5 linked regions of the Bombyx mori genome follow. The protein of the gene in region 2 interacts with the protein of the main gene of each other region in a pairwise test. Links are inferred from orthologs where the notes say so. Each region holds a gene or a part of one and is shown on either strand. Other genes may lie near its edges.

Region 1 (4,378 bases), on a different chromosome or scaffold from region 2:
ACCAACACAAAGTTGGTCCAAGCAAATAATATGGTTATAGGCATATCATGAGATATGAGTACACCAGATGTTGCTTTAGGCCAAGACAACTTCATTATTATTATTATATGTACTATAAATACAATATTACATTATTTACTTTCAACATAGTTTTAAGCTTACCTCAGCTTCGAAAGTGTGTAAATAAGGCCTTGGGTTCTTATATTCTATCTGCATATAAACTTCGTGCTCCCATATCATTGCTTTTCGGTACAAACAGTAAATCCTGAAGAAGTATGAGCGCTTGCCATTGTCCTTTATAAGGCACAGTACACCAGTATCTCTCTTCTTCCATTCAGAATGTGCTGGACCTTCAGTTGTGAAGAGTTGAACAACTGTAGTTGCTAGACTCTGAAAACATTTTAAATTTTTAAATTATGTGTTGCTTGTGATGACTATGAAAGAGAGGGTCTTTCATCAGGCAAGTTTATTTTCCAGACAGCGGCCCGCAACATATGTCTAAATCAGAAAATAGTTTTGAATATAAATACTATTTTTTGGATACTACAATTCTTTGTCAAAATATAGGTATATTTTTTGGGCAATTCTCGGAAAGTATGTAGGCTTACTGGTGGTAGGACCTCTTGTGAGTCCGCGCGGGTGGGTGCCACCGCCCTGCCTATTTCTGCCGTGAAGCAGTAATGCGTTTCGGTTTGAAGGGTGGGGCAGCCACTGTAACTATACTGAGACCTTAGAACTTATATCTCAAGGTGGGTGGCGCATTTACGTTGTGGATGTCTATGGGCTCCAGTAACCACTTAACACCAGGTGGGCTGTGAGCTCGTCTACCCATCTAAGCAATAAATAAAAAATTGATGATGTGATTCAAATTTTCATTACAAATGCAAATCCTAAATCTGCCTAAAGCTCCCAAAGGGTATCTGATTTCACCAAATGACAGATTATTGTCACTATAGTATCTAGGCATATATGTAAATGGGTATTCTAAGATATTTTTAAGAATAAAAATCTTTATTTCAGTCGCAGATAAAATCCAATGCCGCTGAGGCTTCAATTTTGTTTTTAAAGGTAACAGAAACAAGATTATGGTATATATGTTGCTCCAAGAACTATGTATCGTACCACATTTAGATAATAATAGATAATAGATTTTATATTGAATAACACAATTTTTAGATAATATAATGATTAGAAAAATCTAAAAAGATAATATATAGATAATATATAGACTTTAGATAATATATTGAATAACACAATTCTTTTCTGAATCATTGAGTCAGTGAGTCATAATTATATTGAATCACATAAAAATATGCAAATCAGATACTAGTAATGAGGTGGGAAATATATTTTTATTGATAGTGGCTAACAACAGAGCTGACCCCGTATATTATTGATACAAGTAGTATATGAAGACCCATAGAACAGATGATAATATGGAGGGGTCCAAATGATTTGTGAATTTTTTATGTTTAATGATTTTTCATATATTTCAATAATTTGAAATCGTAGTGGTTTTCTTGTACAATATGGTACAAGATTATTATATTCATGGTTGTACTTGACCATTGTTTAATAAGAGATAAGTTGCGCTTTGAAATTTGTTGACTGATGATTTAATACTTGAAATTGTATAGATAATATTTATACAGACACTCCCAACAAACAATCTTTTTTATATTGGATTTATTAAATTTCTAAACTATAATCCACTACAGTAACATGTGTATGTATATTATGAATATATTGTATAATAGACAAGACATGCAAAACCAGTTGTCGTAATAAATACTTTACTGAGATCTGATATAGTAACAGACTTTCACTGTATGTCTTTATGGGGTGAAATTTCTATCATATGCAGGCTTTGAACACTTTCACGACATGACTGGTCGAAATGCAATTACACTTTTTCTGACTTGTTAAGATGTACTTTTAACTCTTTTTTGATTAGTGTTTTTTTTTTATAATTTAAACTGGGCAGCTAAGAGCACACATGATGTGGAATTATCAGTTTATAGAACTCTCAATATCAACCATAATTGTTTTGCCCCAAATTTTTCACATTAGAAATAGACAGGGACAGTTTCCACTGTTCAGAGGTTCACAAATAGTAAATATACTTTTTATATTATTTGAATTTCGTTTAGATTCTATTACTTTTATTTATTTCAGTGTCTTTCATGATTGTGTGAGAATAGTTTAATTTCAAAAAATTCCCTATCTGTGGGTTTTGAAACCCAATATGTGAGTTAATAATCATTTAGAATTTACGTTAGTTGAATATATAGTTTGTTGTACACAGAAAATATAAAAAAAATATAAAAATTCATTGTTGAAATTTGTATTGACAGTAATTTAATTCCTAAACATTGCTTGGGCCTGAAATGTCAAGCATTGTAGTCGGTCGGTTAAGTTCCGAGGGTTTATCAAAAGCCTTTTATACTATTAAAAAATTAAAAAGATTTGTAATTTTCATTAGATTTAAAACAAGACATTTAACGTTACAAGGAACAAGATAATATCTTAATCAATCATCCAGGCGATAGAATAGGACGCAAACAACTCTATCGTTTAGATAGCATAAGATAATACATTGATAGGGCTATAGATACGTAATCAAGGTGGACTGATTCAACGCGAGCTACTTTCATGAAGGATCTAAAAAGGATGATTAACTCACCTGACATTTTGGTCCTATTAGGCTGAACACCTGTTCGTTCTCCTCGCGTGACAGGAGATTTGTCGTTCTGTGCTCTCCCCTCGGCATCTTGCTTGCCTAACGTAGATATCACACATAAAATCACTATAAACACATGAAAACTGATGTGTCAGCTACAAAAACTCTTCTGCATTTTAATGTTGTTTTGTTCGTTTTATCTAGCCGCTGTTTTTACTGGGCCCATGTAAACATTTCTCATAAAATGGAAACATTCATCTCGAAAACTAAAAGTTCTTAGGAAACCGTTCTGATTTTGCAAATCTTCACTTTCTCCCTCTGTGAGCGTATTAACTTACTGTGCTGTTTGATCTGATTCAATGTGTATAGTGTATAGCATAGATTATACACTTAAGTGTATAGTCTATGGATTTTATTGTGCTCTCGAATATATTAAGTGTATAATCTATGGTGCTCACAGACTATATGCTACGTGTCGAGTTGCCAAGCATTCGCAAATTTGTTTTTATTTACCTACTATGTACACGAACAAAAAATTCCTTAGTGACATCTGTCTCTACACCCCTGATTTTACTTATTTCTTTCCTCCATAACTCAGGGTTAAAAACCGGTTCGTGCATATAAAATTTATTAGCCGATATCTGCGGCATCGGTGACTTGGTCAAGGAAATGTCAATATTTTTTTCTAGTGACACCTAATATTTAATAACGGTGCTAATGCACCAATGGTAACAATGCTAATAACCGCTTAGCATCTGTGAAAGTACCTAATTATAGAAAATTAAGAAAGTACTGTGGCTATTCAAAGTTTTCTAAGAAGTTCACTGAAGTATTAATAACTTCCGAGCATTTTTCTGGAACTTATTCCTTTGAACACGTCTCGTTTCAATCCATTTCATCACAGTAGATTAGGAGGTAAATCAATTTCATTTTTATGTACTACCTATTATTACAATGTGTCAATACACCAGTGAAACTTATGTGGGGTAAAATATGGGAATTTTTAGCGATAAATCACTATCCCAATTTTCTCTTGGCACCTCTATACTAGAATGACAGCCATTTTGTTTTTTTTTTACTTCGCAGTATGGAGGGTAGAGGCACCTCTACTTCGCAACTCAGGCGCCTACAATGATTTAATCATTGCAACATCTACATAATTTATTACTATATAGGTCTATGAATTTATGTGTACTATCTATGATCGATATAGACATATTAGGAATATGGAGGGTAGAGGTAAGGAGAACCGTCTCTGTGTGTGAAAAAGTGTCCGTTAAAACTGACTAAATAAGGGTGGCGCTACAGTAGCAACCGGGTAAATTTTAAAAAAGGCCCTGAAAGTTATTAGAATAAGATAGAGAAATAAAAAAGGACGAAAGACCTGTAAGCACTACAAAATCACAAAAAGTATATTATTTAAAGCTGATAAGAAAATGCAATCGATGTCTCCACCTTTTACCACAGCAATAATTTTAGGTTATATTGACGAAATTAGTTTGGACTACGTAAACTTGTGTATTACACTGTCACTAACTACAAATATATTAAATTTCCTAACTCAGCATACTTCAATCAGTTAAAAACTGCTCAATTCATATCATACCCTGTGCCTATGCTAGCGCCATTCTGGAGGATTTTTGAACTGTTAGTTATTGCTGAAAGTGCGACACTTTTTCAAGCTTCTTCCATATGAGA
Region 2 (3,512 bases):
AAAAATAATTACAAAAATAATAATAACAACGCAATTAGCTGCCACTGTCAGTATTCACTAGTTTTACTGTCACTGTTCATTGAAGACGTGACGATCTCGTACAATATTAATAATTCAATAATCGTGTACGGTGAACGAATATTGAAATCAGCCATCCCTTTCTTACGCTTATGAGTGACAGAGATAGCTGTTACAAATAATATTGATTCGAAATACGATTCAGTATAAATACGACTACAATGTATAAATTACAATATAAAATGTTGTACAATTAATTGTCTACGTGTTAACACAATGTTCGGTTTAGACTTCAGCGTTTCGTTGATGCGTTATGATCCCTAAAGTAAATATCGTGCTCATCCCACAGGGTAAAGGGCGCAGCACGTCACCACGTGATCGTTTTCAGTGTGCTTAGTGCGAGTTTTTTAACGTTCTCGATAGCGTTAAAGTTAGCTCATATTTGTATGGAATGGAATCGTTTGTGTACGTTTGCCGCTAGGGGCGCTATTCTAACTGCATACAAAATTGGGTTAACTTCTACGCTACGCTGACGTGTCCGCGCGCCGCTGACGTCACGTCTCGCTCACTGCGCGCGCTTAGAGCGAGACGTACAGGGGGCGTGGGTGGGGGGCGCGGGGTGCCTGCCGGGGCACTACATCGGGGGCCTCCAAAACCGTAATCAAGTTCTCAGTTGAACCTGTTTCGGTCAACATTTTTCGAGCCCGTGAACTACGATTTGACATCAAATATCAATAAACTTTTTTATTGATACAATTCACAAAGCATTAATGAGTAATAAATATAGTAGGTAATTCTTGATACGCAAATGACATCCCGATGATGCCGATTTTGACATTTTGGATAAGTTTCATTAATGAATTTATCTAGGACTGTGTCTAGCGATGGGTCAGACAGCACGCCGCACACCGCCGCGTCGTGCGTTACCATTGTGCGGTGCGCGTCGTGCATAACCGCGTAATTAAGTCGTGCCAAGTCTCCTCGCTCCATAGGTTTGGACTGGTAATATTCTTTCTAGCTATCAAATACTATATCCATATAATATTGACTAATTTTGCGAAGACTGATTTGCGACGTTCCCCTATCGATATATTTCAGATTATCGCTATATGAGTGCGCCGCCGGCGGAGCACCGGGGCAGGGGGGCGCAGCTCCCGGCCGCCCCCGCGCTACATAGAGCCGTGTCGGCTGCTATATTTAAAAGCTAAGATAATATAAAAACCTACTTAATGTATTTAAACTAATTTCACATAAATTTTGAAGATTATTTTTTGAATAAGATATATTCTGAAATTTTTATTCATTTAATGAACGTCCTCCCATAGTGCGTCCCTCCGACCAGAGCACGGCGGCGCGCGCGGGGCACTGAGCGTCGTTTTACTGTATGCAATGAGTATTATTTAAAGCTACAGAAAACGTCAAGCGATTATGATTGTAATAGTTTAATGATAAGTGAAGTTGTCGCTAGCTGATAATGTATGTATTCTAATAATGATTACGAACGACCTGCGAGTCCGGCGTGACGTTGGTGGGAACCTTAACTGACAAGGGGTGAGGAGCTAAAATACCCTTTAACTGAAGGCCTTAAAGTAGTGAATGTTGTCGGATGCGGATCAGCAGAGCTTTGGGCGCGGCAGCGGGCGCACGAGGTACAGCTTCTCGCCGTGCTTGTTGGTGTAGATGGGCGCGCGCTGGTAGTGCGCCACCAGCAGCTCCAGCGAGGGGAACTTGCGCTGGCCGATGCAGTAGGCGCCGCCCTCCACGTGCACGCGGAAGTGCTTGTTGCGCGCGGGCGCCTTGAGCGACACGGAGTAGTCGCCCGCGTTGGTCTCCGAGTCGCGGATGAGGAAGTCGCCGTCGTGTCCGTGCTGGTTGAGCAGCGCGTCGCAGTGCGTGCGCGTGATGGCGCCGTAGTACCAGGCGCGGCCGGCGGGCCCGCGGTCCGGGGGCCGCTCGGCGTAGGGCAGCGCCAGGTAGTCGGCCAGCTCCTGCAGGTAGTTGCGCGGCACGAGGCCCAGGCGGCCGCGGTGGTCGCGCGCGCGGTACCACTCGGGGTCGGAGGGCGGCCGCTCCACGATCTCCAGCCGGTCGCCCTTCTCGAACGACAGCTCCTGTTCGTTGTTCGACGAGAACGAGTACAGCGCCACCTGCCGCCGCGACAACACCAGACGTTACCAATTATCTCAAAATGCTATAACCGGTGCGGGAGAGGGCAGGCCCATCCTATTCCTGTCACAAGGACGCGAGGTCTAGTAAACATCGAAACGTGTTGCAAGAACAAACAATAGTGATAGGTTCGAGTGTAAATTTAATTCGATCCTGGGTACAGAGGTTACGAGTAAACTATGAACGGGGCTATGAACACCCTAGATCATATTCAATTAGTACTCACAACAATATCCAGAACGTTTTCAGCCATCGCGTAGGTGTGCACGGGGTCTTCATTGTCACCTTCTTCGCTCGTGTAATTCGATGGAAACCTGTTAAACATAGAGAGCGTCACACGTAGGGTCCACCTGTACTGTAGGTTCGCAGACCAAGAGGCCACCGGGGGCCGCGCACTGACCAGCCGGTGTGTCCCTGGTACTGGCCGCGCCACCAGCCGTCGTTGCTCTTCTCCAGGATGAGGATGCGCGTGCCCTTGGTGAGCGAGAGCTCGTCGGGTTGCTGCGCCTGGTAGTTGTACTTGACGAGCGCCGCCCCCAGCGCGTCGCCGGCGTCCGTCCGTCGGGCGGCGCTGGGGGACTCGGGCCCCGCCCCGCGCACCGGCGAACTGTTCGACGGGAGTGTCTTCGAACCCGAACCTTTCTTCACTTTCTTCTTAATACTGGAAGAAACGAAAATCAGCCAACAGCCATACATATACCACAAATGTTTTTGCTTAAAATTTAAAATATTCACTGAGTAAAACTCTTTTACTAAAACTAACCTGTCAAAAAGCGATGGTTTCTCTTTCTTGACATAATTGCTGGGCACGTAGCCAGACTGGCTGCGAGCATTCTGCACGCGCCACCAGTGTTTCGAATCATCAAGCAGAAGGTACCTCTCGTTTTTACGAAGATCCAACTCCTGGGCACCTTGAGCTGCATAATCGTACTTTGCTACAACATAGCACACGTCATCCTGAAATGTATTTAAGCCTATTATTACAATAAGCGGATTGATTTTTACACACATCTGAAGTCAAATGAATTCAAAGTCAAATTATTTGATTTTTCTTTTGTTTTTTCTTAAATTTTTAGTTTTATTTTCGGGTTCACCATTTAATTTGATTTTTATTTTGTTTCTTTCTTAAATTTTTATAATTTATTAATTTTACTAATTTATACCATATTCTGAGTATGTACACACGTACGGAGTCTTCATTCCCGCAAAGAACCAAAGGGAAATGGGGGTGACTGAAAATCAGCGCTGTTCAATTTATCAATCTTGAACAGCAATAGCTGAGCCACCTCCTTTTGCCTTTTTCTCTTTTTATTTTGCTTTTCTTTTTT
Region 3 (4,543 bases), on a different chromosome or scaffold from region 2:
CTACCTTACAAAAGTGGAATATAGTACAACGATTACTATAAATATACAACAAGACATTTCAAAAGAATTGATCCACAAATATAGTGTAAATAAAAAAATAGATAGATATAATGACACATGTTCAAAAAAAAACTAGACTTCATAAAATATTTACAAGTTATTTTTCGATTTGTAAAAATAAAACTACATCAAAACAGAATAATCATAATATAGTTTACGTTCAGTCCGAAATATCATCACATCATAAATTCATTTATAATAATGTTCAGATTTATTTAGCTTGCGTAGTATGCTATGTTTTATGTAGTAAATTAGAATCAAATTCCAAATTTCTAGAAATTCCAAGATACATATTGTGTTTTTTGGTGAAAATTGACTTCTACAAAATATTCATAATCAAATACTGAACACCCATAAATTTTCCAATTCAAAACTTCTTGATACAATTTATATTAGATTCAATATCAATTCCTAAGTTAAATCTAATCATCATAGTATCTTAGCGTGGTTTCCAACTTATCTACTATTTTCTTGTAAAAGTTGATTTGTTGCTTCAAGAATTTTTGCATGGTGGCTTTTATATCAACAGTCCGTTCTGATTTGAAATGGTTGATTTCGGCAAGAAGCGCATATGATATAACATCGGTCCTTCTCAAGACTTCATTTAATTGTGCAACCTCCATTTTGTTTTCAGCAGTCAGTCTTTCACACTCTCTTTTCTTTTGCACTGCACCCTTATGATTGGCCAGGACATCAGGAAAACTAGCTGCAATTCCTTTGTATAAATGAAATTTATCACCCAGTGGCTCCCAATCATACTTCGGTTGTTCATCATACATCCTACCAATATCAATGTAGACACCACCTGTCATTTTAATAGCTGAAGTCAGCTTAGATGTTGATACTATGGTACCTTCATCCAAGCTTAAGGCATTGCCAAGACTATAAAATGCTTCTCCTATTTTCTGGCAGTCACTCTTGTATGGTCCTTGGAAACGTTTTGTTTGCACAATGCACATGCTAGACACAGACTTGATGGCTGTGTCGACACTGTTAATGAAAGTGTGGCACTGTTCTGTGATATGATCAACTTGTGATTGCAATAATGCTTTCTCAGGTACCACTAGTGAAACACAATAATTTAGACCTAGCAAATTATCTTTTTCAGCTTGCCTTTTACCAGCTTTCCATCTCTTTTCATCAGTACATGTTAAGAAGTGTTGCCAAACCTCGCTTCTGGAGAGCACAGGGTGCTTGCACATCCAATCTACAAACTCTTGGAGCTGAACTCGCCTGCGTTCGATTAGTTGCTCATCATATCTTCCAGATATCTGTTTGTCAGGCAGAGGGGGGATTGGAATAAGTGTGAACTTTTCTTGTAGTCTCTCATGGAGCCAGTCAAAGTGTTTGTATCTCCTGGACACTTGAATATTATTGAATGAAGGAGTCAGTTGATAGGCTATAAAACTCTTGATCCCTTTGAATTTAGATTCCTTTTTTGGAGAGGCCACAGTCACAATATATGGCTGAGTAATTGGGGACCAAATATATCCATCTTCATCTTGGATAATGTAGACCTTTTCAGAGTCTGGTACTTCTACATTAAGGGTTGCCAGCAGGTAGCTTTCTCCACTAATCTTTGAAGATGGTGCAAATTTGTTTTTTCTAACTGTGCCCACTGATGAGCTATAATTTGAAGATGTGTCATCTATGTGTTGATTATAATCATTAATAGGCATACCGGGAATCACAATGGATGATTGCTGGTTGTACTGCGATGTCTTGTTTTGTTGCTGGGCTGGTCCTATCTCTGAGTATGTATCATCTTCCCAGTCATCATCCCAGCCATCTTCATGCGAAACTCCTCTTTGGTAATTGTTATCTCCTGCACTGTAGTGTTGTTCGCCCCAGTCATCTGCTGCTTGATCATATCTAGGTGCTGGAGGAGCAGCTTTAGTTTGAATTGATTCTTCTGGTGTCAGTTTTCTGACATATGCAGCAGGAAATAGACCAGTTTCTCCATTAGATTTTTTTCCTTCCCACCAGCCTTCTCCGATTTCTGTGTTGAGCAGTGTGAGCACCTCTCCACAAGTTATGGACATCTCTGTGGTGCCAGGCTCACCAGTGAAGTCATACAAAGCCTGCACTTGGGTCGCCATTTTAAGACCCGTACCTACAACAATTGCAAAATAGATTATTGTATTAACCTGAACGATTTTATTAGGAAGGTTTGTTACATTGAGTACAAATTTTATCTTATCAGTGTTATCTAGAAATGTAGGGAGTATGCACATAAATGATAAATAAATTGCGATGTTCGTGTTATAACTATTATTATTTTATTTAGTTGTAAAATTTGAAGCCGAAATTGGTGGGCTGTAAGGCGCTGACACATATCGCTAGTTTCATAATAGCACCAATTAGCTGTAATTGATGAATTTGATCTCGTTTACAGTTTTAGGATTCTGCTCGAAATTGTGACATGTTCGTATTAAGCATTTGTATTGTATTCAAAAGTACGTCGAAAATGCATTGTTCGCTGTGTAAAACCCAGAAAAGTAGTATGTTTATTTAAAAATTCTTTGATGTGAATAATTTTTAATGTATATGAAAATTTTTATTACTAATTCATAAAGGTTTTCATATGTGAACGAAGTATTGGTGGATTTTGAAGGTGAAACGGTTTTAAATTCAACAATTTTGCGTTGGAAATCAAACCAATGACGTCAATTTTGAACTCGTGTATTGTGGAACTTCAGTGAACAATCGCAGTATTAGTCGGTTCTGCACTTCAATTTTGATTCGATATCACTTATGTAAACACATTTACACAAATAATGCGTTTTACTTACTGTTTTTCAGTATAAAACGTAATTTCAAAGCGGATACCCCGAATGTACAGTCATCTGTTTGACAGATTAACAAAACTTGTTTTCTATAGCTATTGTTCTCTTACAACATATAGTGTAAAATTTGTATGTTCTCGTTGATGTGGCAAGGAAATGTTCCTTTTACACGGTTAATAGTCATTGGTCAGAGTAAATTATCAGGTATCAACATCCAATAGGAGACGGGCAACACAAAATAACCAATTAGAATCTCTTAGTCTAAGCGGAGTTAAAAAAAAATTATGTTTAGTGTTTATTAAAGTTATGTACTGGTGAAGAGAAAATTGCTGTGAAATAATTGACTCGACAGTAATTTTCATACAAATTTCTAATAATTAAAACTGTTACGATTTACAGTAGAATGAAATGTAGATGTCGCTACTGTTTCATGGAGGTTATATGAATAGAGCTAAAAGCGAAAAAATGCGCCAATACGATCATGGAAATCAACCCGAGTAGCCTTACAATGCTATGTGATAGCCACATGGGCACTGACGTTGGATAACAAACTAAGTAAAGGTATGTTATGGTGGCCTTACGGGCTCACCACAGTGGCGACATCTGCTACGAGATTTCAGTTGTAATTCCATTCAATAAAGGTACGACGCCGCGACGACTACGCAATTAAGTTAACAAAGTGCGATGAATGAAAACTTGATGTTGTAAACTGTGCGTGGGTTTTTTTATGGATCGAAACTTAGTCCAATAAATAGACAAGTGGGTTGATTAAACTTTCCTACGTCCTGGGGTTCGGGGATTAAATTATGAACAAGGCTTTAACCAAAAAAATGCTTATTGATCGAATGCGGACAATCAAATAAATATCTAATACATATTAGCATTCATTCTCTCATTTTTTCGCTTTGCACTCGTCTGTTCGACTTTGGCATTGTCGCGCTTTTCTTGTTTGCATACTACACCCCATCCTATGTTCCGGTATGCAATGGAGCTCGAACGTTCGTGAAATACGATTTCTATTATGGCCGTATGTTGTTGGTCTGCTCTCTACTAGATGGCGTTACTTGTTTTGGTCGTTGTGTGTTGCGTTATTTGCGAGATGGCTTTCATTATCTAGGTAGGTACGTACGGTTTGTAATCGTTTAAGTTGATCTGTTTACATTTGCATTTATATTTGTTTTGTTATTGGTATTTCTGCGTGTAAAATGTTGCCAAAATTTTCTTTAATAATAATACCTATGTCTATACTTAGTCTGGCCATAAATACTGTTACAAAGGAAAACAAAAAAAAATGTGTGCGTGTACTAGTGTACACACGTAAGAAGTGAAACTTATTTATGGCCTTATTTTTCGAAAAATGATCTACATGCAACTTTCTAGAAATTGGTTAAATAAAGTTAAATTAGATAAAGTTTAAACAAAAGGATTTTATTATCATAGACATGAATACAAAAAAGTTAAATTAGATAAAGTTTAAACAAAAGGATTTTATTATCATAGACATGAATACAAAACAGATGGCGCGTAACGGAAAAATGTGACGCGTAACCGAAAAATGTGACGGTAAATTTTTTTCCAACGCCGATAAGGAAGTTTCACTTCAAAAATTCTATGGCAAATAACATTTATTACTTTTACAGTGTGTTAGTTTAATACATAAATATAAAACAATTTAAAGTATAAAAGCTTATTCGAAG
Region 4 (4,359 bases), on a different chromosome or scaffold from region 2:
TTTACAAAAACAAAATATACATTTTTTTTCTATATCCCTAATCCTGTTTGCTCTATTCATGTGGCGATTTAATAACATAACTAGGTACTTCAAGGAAAGAACAAGTAACTATACATAATATTTTATGATTTAGATAAAAAAATCTGGAACTTCAAAACATTCTTAATTATATAGCCACAACTGTAAACAACATATACATTTTTTTTGTTTTAAAAAATTATCTTAGAAATTTTTATGAGTAATAAGAATAAGAAGAGTAATACAATTAAAATTTTGGAATGCTTTGAACAAACAGTCTATTAGAGAAAACTCGAAATGAAAACTGGCAGTAAATATTAAAGAATGCCCTCCAATAATAAATAAATTTATTATTTGATGAAATTATTTACCTGAATGCGTAGTGTGCATCTGAGCTGAAGTCATATACTTCGAAGGAGGAGGTTGAGTTGCAGACGCATCATACCATTTCAGTACATCTAATACGGCCTGTGGATTGTTCTTCTGTTCTTGTTTACTAATGTTTGCAGCCATCAGAAGTCGCGCCCATGCCTCTGGCATACCCTTTAATAAACCATATGATAATTCAAGAAACTATTTTGATAAAATTAATTATTTTCATGATTAAAAAGGTTCATCTTGAAAGTTTAGAAGGTCAACATTTAAAATGAGAATTAATGCATGCTTTGAAAGTACATAAATGGTACAATTTGCGTAGTAATAGTATATTGTAGTTGGCATTTTGGATTGTAACAATTGCATTTTTTGTAATCATATGTAACTAATTTAATTTAGTATTATGTATATACAACTACAAAAACCAAAGTTAAGGTGTCCAAAGTGAGTGATTGTTTATGGAGGGTTACATTTTTCAAGTATATCTAGGGGTGAAAGCTGATTATTTGGTTTAAGTGTCATTTTGCAACTTTACAGGAAAGCCATTAAAAGTTTAAAACAATTATCAATTATCTTTACAAAAGAACTACCTCAGCTATTTCAATGGAGTAAACTTAATTGAAGTTTATTCAAAACCATTCAAAGTGTTGATGGTAATACTAAATAAGACGCACCTTTAATTACAAAGACAAAATTGCATATTCAGAAAAATTTTGCTTAAACCAAATAGCCTTTTACTTCTCTATATGTATGTGTGTATGCCTACGGCCTAAACCCTTTCATGGATTTCAAACACTAAAAATCACAAAAAAATGTACTATATTATAAATATAATGTGAACAAGCAATTAAAGTTTTGAAGAACAGTGTATCAAATTTTGGATTTTCAAAGTATATTAAGCGTGAAGCAGAAATTAGCAGTGTTAGCAAATAATTTGATTGAAAAACATTTTACTTAACTGGAAATAACAAAGTCAAAGTTTATTTAAATAGTCCAATGACAATACATGTTAATGTTATAAAGAAGTACTAATACAAAACATATATAAGCTATTACTTACTGTTATAGGCAGCTTGAAACAAAAGCGGTAACTTATGGAGCTTCATTTACATTGTGTTCATAGATATATTCATATTTTTATGGCACTGTTGTTCAATCAACATTTTCAATAACTAATTTCATAATCACAATTCATTTATCTAAATTAGTATTACCATGTCTACTCAATATAGTTTTATATTTTAACATGCTTAGGATTTTTTTGCAAATTATGGATACAATTTAATATTGCAAATCTGCATGGCTCTTATCTACTTTTGATTTTGCTCTGTAAGCCACTCTTAAAGCAAAGCATTGAAGCTATTAGGCAAATTGTGTAGGCAATATTTTATAACTTAGTCTATGTTGCAGCTTTTTCACTTTGACAAGTTTGTGAGCCAATGATTAGTTGTGCTAAAGTGCATTAGTTTTCCAGTTGTAATACAAAAGTTACTCAACATATGATAACAAAATCTACTAACTTCTGGATTCATTAAAATATAAATTTTACTTTGAATTTGCAGTAAAATAAATTTTAAAAATGATTGGATGATTTTTATGTGATGACTTTTATAAGTTGATATACTTACAGTGAATTCCCCCGTAACAGCATCAAAACCAACATGAACGGTGTGTTCAAAGTTTGTTGGATAACTAATATTTGGTTTATTATCATTGTGTGCTGTACTCTTTGATCCTTTTATTTTTGCTTTTAGTGTTTTCTTTTTCCTATCACTACCATCATCAGGCTCTGTAATTGAAATCAATTATATTGAAATTAAAACAATTGGTGATTTGAATATCTTTTAATGTCTGCACTACACTGCACATACATTACAATAATATATAATAAATAAATAATAAATATTTACTAACAATCACGCCACGTTAACTGGTTCCGTGATAAGCTCGTAAAGAACTTGTGTTATAGGTACCAGATAACGGAAATAAATGTAAGATTTTTATTATACACATACATATATTTAATATACATCCATAACCCTGGAAAATACATTTATATTTATCATACAAATATCTTCCCTTGGCGGGATTCGAACCCGCGACCCCCTTGTGTAGTGACCATGTCACTTACCACTACACCAGACGGTCGTCGACAATATTATTAGATTATCATTTATCGTAACTTATAAAACAATGATTAGTTTGGTTTTAAATTTGGATTATTAGTTGAAAAAGGGTTCAGTGTTACCTTTCGGAAGAGGTCTCATGTCGACTGAAGCTACAGAGTCTACTCTATCAGTGGCACGATTACTTGTTAGACGCACCGGTGGTGCAGGCGGTTTATCTTCGTCACTCGACATATCGAATCTAGGCCTGGCTGCCAACAAACAAACTAGTTAAAAATATTTAAGGGTGTTTCGTTTGGGTACTACGTGCGAATTATTTGCTTACAATGACAGTTTTAGAATGACTCACAAGATTATGTTCGCTTAATAAACGAACGCAAAAGATAAGTGCAAAGAATGGATGAAATTTTAACCAAAAACAAAAAGGAAATCGGCATATTACTCATGGACGCGCCCTGGTCGTAGGGTTTGAGACTGCGACAAAACGCTGTACAATTTGCTTGAATGAAATGCGTACTTACCCGTTTTTTTAAATATTAAATGTTTTATGGAGTTTCGTAGAATGAATATATAACATTTCTAAATCTTACAACACTTTGTATGACTTATCACCTATGAGAGAACTATTTTTTAAATTCAGACACATCCAAAGATATCACTGACGATGACTAGAGCCGCCATTACCGCCACAGATCACACTCATTTGCAATAATACCACAAACCAAATATCAAGCTTCAGTAAGAAGCTCAAGAGAGCTGCTTCAATTATTATTCTCATATTTTTATTTATCAAAATATCTCAATGGCTTGCGATGCACAACAGCTGAGCCTGAGACGTTCACGAATCGCAATTGTAACAACGCAAAATGTTACAGTATATAATACGATATTTTTTATTGTTTAGAGGGGTCGACGAACTCACGGCCTATCTGGTGTTAAGTGGTTATCGATGTCTATAGACTTCAATACCGTAAAGGCTGCCATCCACAATGAGACATGAGTTCTAAGTTTCAGTGTTGTACAGTACAACAGCTGCCCCACTCTTCCAACAGAAACGCATTACTGCTTCACGGCAAAAACAGGCAGGGCAGTGATACCTACCCGTGCAGACTCACAAGACATCCTACTACCAGTCGCGCCTCGTCTATGTCAGTTTCTTGAAATTTCTATTTTTTTATACTTATTTTTACTTTTTTACTACATAACGAAATGAGTTACTGTGCCATTGGCATAGATGGTAATAATTCAATACAATTCAGGAATTAACCCAGATTATAATTATTTAAAAACTTTAGCAACCCAGTAGCTGACTAAGTAAAATGTGTAAGTAGTGTTCAATGATTAGATTAAATGAAAAAATATTTCAGTGAAATGGTAATAATTTATTGAGCCTAGACTTTTAAGGCTAAGAAGCTTCATCCATCGTCTTTGTTTCATTTCGTGACACTTGCTCTTTTTCACTGATGCAAAATGGTTAATAAGTCACCAGTTTAAGACGTCTAAATAAGAAGAAACACAACATTTAAATTATTAAAACTTCACAAAACTTTTTTGGACTTTGTGCTAAAAGGTTTATTAACGTAGTGCAACAAAATAGAAAGTTGTGAATTCGATAGGTAGCCAATGAAAACAACAAAATCGGAATTTGTGGAATAAGGGATTGCGGAGTGTTGTAACCTTCTTTTCCATATTCCATTATTTGAAATATACTTCGAACACATTGTCATTTTTACCATCTATCATTATTATATTTTATGCTATGTCTTGAAAACATTGTTTCATTATATTGGCGACGAGTTAAAAGAAATTAAGATGAACGATGAACAATTCGCATTATTTT
Region 5 (3,799 bases), on a different chromosome or scaffold from region 2:
TTTCTACAATATTTGTTTTACAGCAAAATAAAAGAAAACATACATAATATTAATTTATATCTTGAGGTGTCAATTATTTTCAAAACATTAGTATGCTAAAATATTTATCGTTGCAGAAAGGCCTTGTTTCATGAACCCGCAATGTAATTTGAATAATTTTAGCCTGTTCTTCCCGTGTCAGCTAATTTTGTACACTATTCATTATTGCACCTCGAGACATTTTATATGTTTATGGTAAGAAAGAATAAATTTAAATGTAATAGAAAAATAGGACATGTTATTTGTTTCTAGCATCACAGAAAAATTGCATTAAGCCTTTAGTATTTTTTCTTCTATGAAGGGAGTGGTTATTACCAGTACGATGAAAATATAAACCCAATGCAGCATGAACATTTGTTATTATTATATACATTATTTGTTATTACATTACCTTCCAGATAATATTAGGGGACGGCACACCGACAGCAAGACAAGGCAACTTCACATCCTCTTTGTAGGTCGCGGTGAATGATTCGTCAAACGAAGCGATCTTAGCGGGTACTGTGAAAAATATGAATCAATTTAAGTTTAAAAACTACTGTTTGACTGTTGACTGACTCGGTGGTGCAGTAATTAGCGTCTCTGACTGTTGCGCTGAGGGTCGTGGGTTCGATTCCCACATCGGGTAAACATTCGTGTGATGAACAGGTTTGTTCGTTCTTTGTCTGGGTGTTTATTGTTTATAGGTCTCCAAAACACAGGGAATCCGAAATTGGGGTCAGTTTACCATGCGTGATTATTATGTAGGTATTTATTATTAGTTACTATTAGATATGTATTCAAAATTTTATTATTTAACCTTTGTCGCTGGGGCTGCAAGAGGCGGTTGCTGAGGGTTGTCCTTCGCCGATGATAGTTGAAGCGGTTACCCAGAAGTCGTATCGGCCGGGCTTCAGTTCAGTTGCGGAGTAACTAGTTTGACTGGCTGGTACCTGGAATTTTATAAATAGATAAAAAATAGAAATATATAAAGATACATTAGCTTATAATAGCAACACCTCGTCTCTTCCCGTGGATGTAAAAGACAACCGGGTTGGTGGTAGAGCATATTGTAACCTGGCACGGATGGGTACTAATATTATATTTCTGCTGCGAAGCCTGATACTCTGGTTTGATCTGTGGGAAAACTGTTATACAATACGATTGAGATTTTCACCTCATGTCACAAGGTGAGTGGGTGGCGGGATTCACGTTGTGATATCAATGGACTCCAACTCCACAATGTAAACTAGTTGGTCATCAGAATAAGCTACAGCTATAGCTACAAGAACATACAAGATATACCTACCACGATTTTCTAATTTCATGAATTCCCGAATATACACTTACGGGGTGAGACATTTAGTTTTTTTTTATGGCAATAGTTTTAACTTTATGCCAGTTTCAAGTAAAAGGTAGGGAAACTGCACGTGAAACAAAATAAACAAAGACATCAAAAGGAAACAAAGAGACAATTAGTTTCAGTGGTAGCACCAAAAAACTGGCTAAAAAGAGGGTAGACAGATAAGTCAGCTCTTAGCATCCTACCCGCAGTCTTCCGACTATCTGTGATCATCATGGGGAACTCATAAAATGCGAACGTCCTGGTAAGATTACCAGTTCAGTAATAGAGTGTATAATTTAGATAGGCGCAAAGTTTAAAAGAATTCCTAACACATGTTTTAATTTAATTACCTTATTAGGATGAGGTTCTGCGTTCTGTGCTTGCGTGTACACGTTGTAGTGGGTGACAACTCCGTTAGGTTGCGCGGGGGCTCTCCAAGAAACAAGGATAGAATCCTGTCCCATTACAAGAGCTTTGACGGCACGCGGGGCCTCGGGTACTACACAGTACGAAATTATTTTAAGAAATTTCAAAAAAAATACATTGATCCACGTAAGCTTGTTACGGTGTCATACAAAGTGATATAACGGGAGGGATTTTATTAAGCGTCTTTATTATAAGGCGGACCGTGGCTGAAAGTTTTGACGCTCAAAAAAAACTTACTTAGGGTAATAAATTATGTTTTATTCAGTGTCTTTACTCAGGTGAATACTCACTGCTAGGAAACATTATCTGTGTCGATAAGGAACAAATGTGATCATTTTAAAGAAAAGCTTAAACTTTACATGGGATTTATAACGAAATGTCTTCAATCAGTTCTCCTTCGTTAAAATAGCTAAGCTAATTATAAATTCGAGTAAAAAACCGTTTCAAAACTAACGGTAGTATCAAAATCCGTCTAATCCTACAAGGTTTATAAACAGAATTACTCGAATACTTCCATTAATCAGGAGCACGGTGACTAATCCAACTAGCCAATCAGGAGTAAGAACGCGTTTCGTTTTTATAACCAACTTCCAGGAATTAAAGGGTTTTAATAAGTTTTGCGAGTTTAATTTATTATTAGACGTGCTTCATCACGGGAACCATTCGTAAGTGTTACGTACGTATTTACTAAGAATATTTTTGCCTCTTGAATTTGAAACCCGAATAGGTCGCAGCAGGCTATTAGGATACGAAGAATTCACTGTTTGGTCATTTCCACTAATGTGTTGTGTGACTGTGTTTCAATATATAGTTTTTGGCATATATTACTAGTTTACAATTGGTACTTTACAATACAATGGTATATTATTGTATTATAAGGATGTGTATCAACAGGAAAGATCATGAGCGTATTTATCCTACGGCTGATAGGACTATGACATAAGGCCACTGGTAGCGAGGTGCGGTGCAAGCCACATCACCACGCGTTGACTTTGTTTGTTTCTTAATTTGGCCTTTTTAGGATTGTCATTGATTATCGTTAAAACACTGCAGGATTTAATTTTCTAACTAAAAGTTTATAATTTTTTTGGTTCATCTAATATACGCCACTGAGAAAGATACAATATATCACCGTAAAGAAGAATTTAGAATACTGACCGTCTTGTTCAGTCTGACAGTGGATGGGTACAGATCGCACTCCGTCTCCGCCGTTAGTGGTCGCAAGCACTTCCATAGAGTAGTTAGTGAATTTCTTGAGTCCGTGGAGAATAGTTTCGCTACTGGCCGTGTTTTTGGTGTCTTTAGTTTTTTCATCTATAATAAATTCAGCATTGATAATATTACTATAAACCAGAAAAAAAACGAAATGTACTTGCTTAATATAAGTTTGACGTACGAGGAGATACGTACCGTACCAAGTTTCGCTGGGTCCGTAAATCACTTTGTACGCCTTGATCAGACCATTGGCAGCAGCCAGTGGGGGCGACACCCAGGAGACGCGGATGGTTTGTGCCGTGAGGGTGGTGCATAAAACGTCTTGAGGGGGAGCAGACGGGGCACCTTCGGCGGTATAGGCGCGAACTTCAGCGGACACCGGGCCCGATCCCATCTTATTGAAGGCTTGGACTACGACAGTGTACTGGGTGTAGGTCCTATGGAAAATATTCAGATGTAAAAATTAATAGTACACTACAGTTATCATGAATTGCTGACTTTCGCAGTCTTCAAGAAAACATACTTCAGATTTTGAATGTCCAAATGGTGTTCCTTGCCAGATTCTTTGGAAATGTCGACGGTTTCGAAAACGAACGATTTGTTGCTGGAAGCCAATTTGTATCCAACGTAGTACCTGATATACAATAGAATTAACATGTTAATATTATTTATGTATAGTCAATTGGTATTGACAGTTTTTTTATAAAAAAAACTTGAAAGTAATTTCTTGAGCTTTCTGTGTAACTACCCAATGCAAAAGCCTGAAGATAGTTAATTTATTTATTGCTCAGATGG

Evidence for each region.
Region 1: the proteins of cytoplasmic protein NCK1 (region 2) and actin nucleation-promoting factor WASL interact in a two-hybrid assay, tested with the Drosophila melanogaster proteins (2 studies listed by BioGRID). The link is inferred for Bombyx mori from reciprocal best matches to the Drosophila melanogaster genes dock and WASp.
Region 3: the proteins of cytoplasmic protein NCK1 (region 2) and sorting nexin lst-4 interact in a two-hybrid assay, tested with the Drosophila melanogaster proteins (2 studies listed by BioGRID). The link is inferred for Bombyx mori from reciprocal best matches to the Drosophila melanogaster genes dock and SH3PX1.
Region 4: the proteins of cytoplasmic protein NCK1 (region 2) and serine/threonine-protein kinase Pak interact in a two-hybrid assay, tested with the Drosophila melanogaster proteins (3 studies listed by BioGRID). The link is inferred for Bombyx mori from reciprocal best matches to the Drosophila melanogaster genes dock and Pak.
Region 5: the proteins of cytoplasmic protein NCK1 (region 2) and cell adhesion molecule Dscam2 interact in a two-hybrid assay, tested with the Drosophila melanogaster proteins (3 studies listed by BioGRID). The link is inferred for Bombyx mori from reciprocal best matches to the Drosophila melanogaster genes dock and Dscam1.

The regions. Positions count from the first base shown.
Region 1 is NC_085121.1:15,494,956-15,499,333, reverse strand, and holds the start of actin nucleation-promoting factor WASL, read right to left. Parts: upstream 3,090-4,378; 5' UTR 2,771-3,089; coding exon 2,684-2,770; intron 391-2,683; coding exon 163-390; intron 1-162.
Region 2 is NC_085110.1:18,092,939-18,096,450, reverse strand, and holds part of cytoplasmic protein NCK1, read right to left. Parts: intron 3,142-3,512; coding exon 2,948-3,141; intron 2,846-2,947; coding exon 2,585-2,845; intron 2,499-2,584; coding exon 2,411-2,498; intron 2,166-2,410; coding exon 1,632-2,165; 3' UTR 1-1,631. UniProt on the Drosophila melanogaster protein: Adapter protein that links cell surface receptor tyrosine phosphorylation to downstream signaling pathways and effectors, many of which are involved in regulation of the actin cytoskeleton.
Region 3 is NC_085119.1:13,643,555-13,648,097, reverse strand, and holds the start of sorting nexin lst-4, read right to left. Parts: upstream 3,077-4,543; 5' UTR 2,853-3,076; exon of another isoform or gene 2,625-2,852; intron 2,174-2,624; 5' UTR 2,160-2,173; coding exon 483-2,159; 3' UTR 1-482.
Region 4 is NC_085121.1:11,072,352-11,076,710, forward strand, and holds the start of serine/threonine-protein kinase Pak, read right to left. Parts: upstream 3,027-4,359; 5' UTR 2,966-3,026; coding exon 2,962-2,965; exon of another isoform or gene 2,869-2,961; intron 2,771-2,868; coding exon 2,642-2,770; intron 2,183-2,641; coding exon 2,022-2,182; intron 562-2,021; coding exon 390-561; intron 1-389.
Region 5 is NC_085118.1:9,060,777-9,064,575, forward strand, and holds part of cell adhesion molecule Dscam2, read right to left. Parts: intron 3,639-3,799; coding exon 3,528-3,638; intron 3,442-3,527; coding exon 3,200-3,441; intron 3,104-3,199; coding exon 2,948-3,103; intron 1,863-2,947; coding exon 1,714-1,862; intron 972-1,713; coding exon 839-971; intron 541-838; coding exon 431-540; intron 1-430. UniProt on the Drosophila melanogaster protein: Cell surface receptor involved in guidance and targeting of growing nerve axons.